Linked DNA regions of Sus scrofa. The protein of the gene in region 2 purifies or fractionates together with the protein of the main gene of each other region. This does not show direct contact. Links are inferred from orthologs where the notes say so. Each region holds a gene or a part of one and is shown on either strand. Other genes may lie near its edges.

Region 1 (4,532 bases), on a different chromosome or scaffold from region 2:
GCCTCCAGCGAGGCCTCCACTTGGGGCTTTTGTGATACCCTGATCGGTAACCCGTCCTCACCCCCCAGGTGGTCTGATACCTGGCCGGCCTTGAGCAAGAATCCCACCAGGTTTCCTTGGCTAGAAGCCCCAAACCCCCAGCCCCCCACCCAGAGGTTTCCGCGTAGTAGTTTCCCACCCCCTGACCCCACGCCGTTCCTCGGCTGTAAATTCCCACCGGCTCCTGTGGTTTTGAACACGCGCGACCGATCAGTGAAGAAAGGATGTTGCAGCCATCAAGCTGTCACATTACAGCCACCACGACGGTGCACCCAGAGGACGAAGGCCGTGAACGCTGAAATCACTTGGGGTTGATGGGAATGAGCCCAGACTTTGCATCACCCGCCCCCCCCCCCCCCACTCACGGAGAAGCACTAAATTCCTTTTTTCTTTTTTTTTTTTTTTTTCTCTTTTTGCCATTTCTTGGGCCACTCCCGCGGCATATGGAGGTTCCCAGGCTAGGGGTCTAATCGGAGCTGTAGCCACCGGCCTACGCCAGAGCCACAGCCCCACGGGATCCAAGCCACATCTGCAACCTACACCACAGCTCAGGGCAACGCCGGATCCTTAACCCACGGAGCGAGGCCAGGGACCGAACCCGCAACCTCACGGTTCCCAGTCGGGCTCGTTAACCACTGCGCCAGGACGGGAACTCCAAGCACTAAACGCCTGGAGAGGTCTGGTTCCTTAACGGACAGCGACCTCCCCACGCGCCAGCTACCTGGTCTTTGCGCGGAACCGCCCGGAGGTGCCGGCTCCTGCCTCACCTCTACGGAGCGGGCTCCCAGTTAGATGCTGGGCCCCAGGCTCGGGTCCTCAGCTTGGTGTGCCACACGAAACGTAAGGCTCAGCTTTCGGGGTGCGCCTTTCTTTTCCGCCCACCCGTGTGCGGGGTGAGCCCGGCTCCACACCGGGGTCTCCTGCGCGCTCTGTGAAGCGCCCTGGGCGGAACCCGCTTTCAGCGCCTTAACTGCGGTCCAGCCCTGGTTTTCTCTCGGCTCCCTGTGCTTGCAGCAGCGCCCTGGAACCCACGGCCAAGGGGCCAGGGACCCCACTGCGGCTCCCCGGTGACAGAGGAGCAGGGCCGCCGTCAGGAGCGCCCGAGGTCGCCCCTGGGGAGAAGCCGGAGGCCGCTCTACTGCGGGGCCGAGGGGCCGAGGGGCCGAAGGGCGAGACCGCCCTTGGGAAGAAGCTGGAGGCTGCGCTCCCGAGCTTGGGGCCGCAGCCCCTCGCGCGACTCGGTGCCCAGCCCGTCGCTGCTGGCGGGCGGGCAGCCCAGCGCCTCAGAGCCCAGCGGCCCCGGCGCGACCGGAAGCCCTGCGGGCTGCACTTCCGGCGGGGGCCGCAGAGCCCGCGGGCGCGTCTGGCGCTCGGGAGCGGGGCGGGGCCTTAGGGGGCGGGGCCGCGCCGCCACCGGCGTCATTTCCGGGCGCGGCCTGGTGAGCGCGGGCGGCATGGCGGGCGGCAGGGAGGGTAGGGGGCCGCGGAGGCTGGAGCGGGAAGGCGAGGGCGGGCGCCCCCACGGTTGGCGCCCCAGCCACGGTCGCCATCTGCCTCCTGGCTCGGTGACGTGCTGCTTCTCCTGTGGGGCCGGTGGTTTTCCCAAGTGCAGAAAACGGAACCTCAATGGGCGCACTGGAGGGACGGCAGGAGCGTGGCCACCTGCTCTGGCCTGGCTTTTGCACCTGCACCTGCGGCGCTTTCAGCCCTTCACCCCCCCGGCAGTGGCACCACCGAGGGCCCCAGGACTCAGAGCCTCGGGATGGGGTGGGGTCACAGTGATGCTTAACAGCAGGGGCCCCAAGCGCGTGGAAGAGGAAAGAAAAGCATATTTTGACATCCTGCCTCCTTTGCCTGGCTAGTTTATGTATACAAGTGTGTCTACTCAATGAATCTAGAAAGTTTTGGGCAAATGAGGCCTGTAAGGGTTAACAGATACAGGCTTTTGAATGAGCCCACTTGTATTTCTGTTTTAATGCCAAATGGTACTTACTCTGGAGCCCCAAGGCCATCTGATGCTGATTTACTCTCTTTATTCTTAACAAGCTGAAGGGGCCATTGAACAGACCCAACCATGGAAGGCAAACCATTGGTGATGTCGAAACAGACGACTGCGGTAGTGTGTGGCGTCCCTACCCAGGTGGTATGCACAGCCTTCAGCAGTCACATCCTGGTGGTGGTGACCCAGTTCGGGAAAATGGGTACCCTGGTCTCCCTGGAATCCAGCAGCATGACCAGTGACATCAGCAAGCCTGTGCTCACCACCAAAGTTCTTCTCGGGCAGGACGAGGTAAAGGGATGGGGGCGGGAGCCCGGTGGCTACAATTTGTTAATACACACGGGGAGCATCTCTGGGCAGACGCCCCCACGCCCACCGCCACCAGCCCTCGACAGCATTTTCCGGGGCCTCTCTGCGTCTGAGGGCATCCACCTGCCCTTGGTGGCTGCTGCTTCCAGCCCATCAGCATTTTATCCTGCAGACAGGCGGAGGTATTGATTTTGCGATGTAGGCCTCCCCTCAGTTTGACCCTGTCATGATACATTATGGTAATGACTGGTTGTGCATGCTTCGTTCTGGAAAGACCATCTGTGAGCCTTGACAGGTTGCCTCTGCAGACTTTCAGGGGTCCTTCCAGAGCAGAAATCGCCGGAAGAGACAGGAACCAGAAGCACGAAAGGGACAAGTTTAATGATGCTCCTTAGCAGTGCGTTTATGACTGGAGTGCCCTGAGTCTCTTTGAACCTGAGTTACTGTCACACTGAACTTACCAGGTGGTGACTGAATGGTTGGAAGCCAGGCCGGGTTTCTCGGGGGGACTAGGAAGGCATTAAGAAGAAAAGAGGTTGGACCTAGAAATTATCACGCCAAGTGAAGTCAGGCAGATGGTGAGATGCCAACCTCAAATGCTGTCACTTACATGTGGGATCTAAAAAAAAGGACACAATGGGGCGTTCCCGTTGTGACGCAGCGGAAACAAATCTGACTAGGAACCATGAGGTTGCGGGTTCGATCCCTGGCCTCGCTCAGTGGGTTGAGGATCCGGCGTTGCCGTGAGCTGTGGTGTAGGTCGCAGACGCGGCTCGGATCTGGCATTGCTGTGGCTGTGGTGCAGGCTGGTGGCTACAGCTCCAATTAGACCCCTAGCCTGGGAACCTCCATGTGCCACAGGTGCGGCCCTACAGAGACAAAAAAAAAAAAAAGGACACAGTGAACTTCTTTGCAGAACAGATACTGACTCACAGACTGAAAAGCTTATGGTTTCCAAATGAGACAGGTCGGGGGCGGGCAGGGGCTTGGGATGGAAATGCTCAAAATCGGGCTGTGAGGCTCATCGCACAACTGTAAATGTAATAAAACCCATTGAGGAATTTAAAATAAAACTAATTTAGAAGAAGACAAGCGATTTCTTGCAGTTAAAATGCCTTCTCTCTCTGCCCTCACCAGCCTCTCATCCATGTCTTTGCAAAGAACCTGGTGGCCTTTGTGTCTCAGGAAGCTGGAAACAGAGCAGTCCTCCTCGCCTTGGCCGTGAAGGACAAGAGCATGGAGGGAGTGACGGCCCTGAAGGAGGTGATCCGGACGTGCCAGGTGTGGTGACCCTGGGGCAGCCACTCCTGCTGCCCGTCAGGACCAAGCGGAAACTCAGACACCGTCTCGAGGCTCTGGAGACCCTTCAGCCAGAAGGAGGAGCGTTCTCAGGCTTTAGCCCTCGAAACCGGAAGAACCGTGCACATCTGAGGCCGACTGGTTTGGAGGCTGACACCCCCGGCGGAGGGAGGCGAGCCGAAGGTGTCCTAGGAGAGCTGTGAGCGGTTCTCTCCGGCTCCCGAGAGTGGCACGTAGTTGAGAGTTGACGGAATGAGTCATGGCCCCCGATGTGCAGGTCATTTGTTGGGGGAGATGTTTGTCTTATTAAAAATAAATGCACATTCCAGAGTACCTCACCGTCTTTCGCGACGGTGCTGAGACATTTCCGTCGCGCGGCGTAAATCCGCTGCGGTGGTCTCGGCCTGAAGCCCACAGCCTCATCCTGCTCCTCTGCCTGTGGCCTCTCTGAGCGTCCCGGTCCCCGGACTGCTGGTTGGTACCCTGGCCTCCGGAGCCACATCCTTGAAAGCTGGGGCCAGACACATATACCCCAGGAGGAGGGGGTCAGGCAGGGAGGAGGGCAGGGGGGGCAGGCTAGGCGGCGCCTCACTTCCAGAGAGGCCGGGACATGGGAGAAGCTGGGACCGGGACATGGGAAGCTGCCCGGCTGGGAGGCCCAAGGGCTGGGAGGGCCTGTGTGTGCTGAGGCCTCAGACGGGACGCTGAGCCCAGCGAGGGGGCTGAAGGGCTTCAGGGCTCGCGGGGTCTGCCCCTTGGAGATGTTCCTGGGGCTTGACCTCAGGGTGACGTGTCCACGTGGAAGGCAGCCTGTGGCCACCCACGCCTGTGACAAAGGGCAGCCGGGGACCCATCTGGGCTCCTTCATCCCTCCACATTCAGCGAC
Region 2 (4,068 bases):
GTAAGCCTCCTAAATCCGGCTTCATTGCAGATGCCAACTTCTATGTTATCTTCTGTCATTTGCCCTTCAAAGCTCTCCTGATGAAGAGGGAGGGAAAAGGTCAATTTCCCAGCAGTTAATTGTAAAATCATTACCAGTCCCATTGGTGGGTATTGAACTAACCTTTAGGGTTAATATGGCTGTGTGAATGGCATCTTCAAGTTCCAGATCTTCATTGTATCTAAAAAATTTGTTGATAAACAGTGTTTTATGGCCCTATTAACATTATTTATGACTTGCAAATGCAATGATAGCAACAGTATAAATCCAAAACACTCTTAAAAATATTAAGTTACAGATTAATTATTTCAGTCGCCTCACGGAGCTGGCTGTCCCCAGACAAGAAGCTGACAGTCGCTTCTTGATGTGCACACTGGGTGTGCAGTCCCATCATGAAGAATGTAACCCTAACATGAGTTTATTTTAGGAAACTTCCTTTAAGTGTAAAAATTTTAATGGATTCAGAGTGTGGTGGCGATATTATAATAATTTACAAAAGTAAGGCAGAGAATCAGACCCTTGCTAAAATTTCCTATGTCTGTTCTTATAATGTTTGGAAGACTCATAATAACATGTAAAAGGAAAAAGAAAGTGCTTTAAGATCCTAAGTTTACCAACTAATCATAGGTCTCAGATTCTAGTAATTTAAACATTATTGAAAATGTACTGAGAAGTTTCATTTGTTAGCTGTGATCAATTACAAACATTTTTCTTTCAAAACGCGGGACACTTTTTGATGGACGACAGCCATGCGGAGTCTAGAAGAGAGCTGCAAGGAGGTGAGAGCAGTTTGCCATGCTAGGCAGGGGCAGATTTTTATGCATCCCACATTTCACCAAGCACATAAATCCCAGCTTTAATCCACCTTCAACACCAGGTAGTTGGCTCCAAGATTTTTTTCTGTAATTGTCAAAATGTAAACTGTTAAGTTTTCCTCCCCAAATTTTTACTCCAAATCCAATCTTTTTTTTTTTTTTTTTTTTTTTTGGTGGGGACTTTTTTTAAGGAAAAAGTAAAATAAAAAAAACCCACAACATTTAGGAAAAAAAATGAGAATGCAGAAAGAGAAGTTCTTAAGAAATGAACATTACCACTTACCACAGTGAAAGCTAGGAGCTGGGATAGGGAGACGTTTGCTGTTCCATCAATAACTAGACTCCCATACACAGGAACACAACAAATTTATTCAGATTCCTGGTTATTTAAAGAGCTGAAATTTAAAGTATGTTCGCTAATGATTCTAGTTTTATGAGCCTACCTTTTCTCAAGGAACGTTTTCCCATTCACATAGTTCTTTCCCATTGCAGTGGCTTTCCAAGCAAAGTAGGCTCCCTTAATCAGGAAGGGAAGAGGAAAAATCATATTTTAAATCATTATTATATATGCCTTGACATTTATTTCTTGGTTCAATAATTTGTCTCTAACGTCTAAGGTCACGGAATTTTTATCGAGATGCAATGGAGTATGTCACAAAATATGGGGTTTTATTTTTTTGTTTTTTTAGGGCTGTACCCACGGCATATGGAGGTTCCCAAGCTAGGGATCGAATCAGAGCTGTAGCCACTGGCCTACACCACAGCCACAGCAGCAACAGATCTGAGCCGCATCTGCCACCTACACCATAGCTCATGGCAACACCGGATCCTTAATCCAGCAAGTGAAGCCAGGGATGGAACCTGCGTCCTCATGGATGTTAGGAAGGTTCGTTAACTGCTGAATCACGATGGGAACTCCTTTCATTTATTTATTTTTTTGAAAGGTTATTAGCAGGGTAAATGACAAAGAGGCATGAAGAGACTTTTGGAGGCTATGGGGAAGTTCAGCATCTTGATTGTGGGGATGGTTTTCTCAGGTATTTACATACATCAAAAGCTCATCAAACTGCACACTTTAAATATGTGCAATTTATTGTACAAAATTTATGTTAAAAAAAAGAAAGAAACTGAGGTTAACTCAGAGCCAATAATGGAAAGTAATATTTTAGGCTTACTAGAACTGAAGGGCTCCAAAAGTCTGTCATATGTATCTAAAAAATGGTGACCAACTTGCCATCGTCTTTGGTGACTATGTTAAAAAGACACAGTTTTGCATTAAAAATTTGCAAAGGTGTTGATATTTTGAAATCTAACATTAAGCAAAAGCAGCCAGCAGTATGTCATATACAACATGACCTCATCTGCTGAAAAAATATATACACACCCACACACACAGACACTGAAAGAAACACACCACACATATTTTAAAAGAAAGAACTGCTTTTTGGATACAACAGGGGCAAAAAGGGCAAAGATGAAAGCTGGATGCCAGTGCCAGTGGCTCTGATACCCACCAGGAAGAAAGGTTAGAAGGCTTTTAGCTTCAGAAGCTCAGATACAGAATAACAAAATACTTACTTTTATGACTTAAGTAACAGACAACCAATTTTTTTTTTTTTTTGCCCTTTCAGATTACAAAGCTAGACCAGAAGTTTTGGACTGAGTGAACCTGCCTTTATCTAACGACCTATAAGCTACGCAAGATCAGTTTTTGAGCACGAGTTTTTAATTCTGGGTCTCCTCACAGCAAACGTGAGTGACAGACACGCGACACACGTGGAAGAATGGTACCCTCTACAGACCCCAGCCGACTCGGACACCGATCTCCTGCTTTAGAGCAGACCACGCATCCATCTCGCAGACCATTGAATTCAAGACAGTAACAGCAATGTTTACGCAGGAGTCACACTCCAGTCAGACCTAAGAGTAAACTGAGGGCAAAGAGCACTGCCCCCTAGACCCTTTAATCTCTGCTTACAATTTTTTAAAAGAATTCCAGACTTGAGATTTGATAACAACTATTTCAACCAAAGTATGTGACGTTAACACAACAGAAGAACAGAGCACAGAACTAAAGGAGCTCCCTTAACTGAAGACTGTGAATTACCAGCACTTTAATGTGTAAGTGAGTATGTACTGCTTCGACGGCCCTAAATGAAAAACAAAATATTCTAATTTTTAAGCTTTTTATGGCTTCTATTATTATTCGATAGTCAAAGAGCGCTTCGACAAATCCCTCAGATATACCTAACGATACTTACAGATGGATCTGACTGAAATAAATACGGTCGTCCCTCATTCCAACCACAAATAAGCAAAGACACTCCAAATGGACGAACACCACTGAAGAAAGAAAAAGTGAGAATAACTTGGCATCTTCATGGTCTTTAAGTCAACCTAAGGTAAGAACTTATTAATACTCTCAAGTAAAGCAAATTATAAAGTAAACCGAATGAGACTTCTAAGCTCATTAAAAAGTATTTAAGGAGTTCCCGTTGTGGCTCAGTGAGTTAAGGACCTGACACCGTCTCTGTGAGGATGCGGGTCTGATCCCTGGCCTTGCTCAGTGGAGTAAGGATCCAGCATTGTCGCAAGTTGCAGTGTAGGTCCCACTTGAGGCTTGGATCTGGTGTTGTTCTGGCTGTGATGTAGGCTGGCAGGTGGATTTAACCCCTGGCCCAGGAACTTCCACGTGTGGCAGGTGCGGCCGGTGCGGCCATAAAAAGAAAAATAAAAGCATTTAGCACCTTCTAAATAAATTCAAAATGAAGCTGGTACTGAGGAACAATAGTCAGATCATTTTGATAAAGGTACTGAAATACATTTGGGGGTTAGTAAGTGTGGAGTAACAACACTTCATGTTCTAAAAAAATGACAGGTTTCAACAAATGCAGCTTTTCCGCTGGCTTTACACATCAGCAACCACCTCTGCACTACTTCGTCCATGTCACACCCACACTCGAGGACAGCGGCGTTAAAATGAATACAGATGTGTTAGAGTTACTGCTTTCATTATGGGCTGATGATCATTGCTGGTTAGAAGATCAATTTGGAAGCAGCCGTGACTGCCCATAAAGAAATGTTTCAATCACTCGCCAAAGGCCTTTAGCTAGAAGCTGCTTTCTGCTGTTACACGGACAGCAAAAAACCATTCCCACTTCCTTGTTAAGAAAATGTTACAGATCCAGTTAAGAACAGAAATAATTCATCACAG

The links. Proteins that work in one complex are often made in the same cells at the same time.
Region 1: the proteins of PSMA2 (region 2) and PSMG3 purify together in Homo sapiens (affinity purification with mass spectrometry; 4 studies listed by BioGRID and IntAct, with this or other methods). This does not show direct contact. The link is inferred for Sus scrofa from reciprocal best matches to the Homo sapiens genes PSMA2 and PSMG3.

Annotation. Positions count from the first base shown.
Region 1 is NC_010445.4:1,051,632-1,056,163, reverse strand, and holds PSMG3 (proteasome assembly chaperone 3), read left to right. Parts: upstream 1-1,447; 5' UTR 1,448-1,478; exon of another isoform or gene 1,479-1,512; intron 1,513-2,085; 5' UTR 2,086-2,113; coding exon 2,114-2,329; intron 2,330-3,484; coding exon 3,485-3,637; 3' UTR 3,638-3,979; downstream 3,980-4,532. UniProt on the Homo sapiens protein: Chaperone protein which promotes assembly of the 20S proteasome. May cooperate with PSMG1-PSMG2 heterodimers to orchestrate the correct assembly of proteasomes.
Region 2 is NC_010460.4:51,915,583-51,919,650, reverse strand, and holds part of PSMA2 (proteasome subunit alpha type-2), read right to left. Parts: intron 3,198-4,068; coding exon 3,116-3,197; intron 1,372-3,115; coding exon 1,298-1,371; intron 221-1,297; coding exon 163-220; intron 78-162; coding exon 1-77.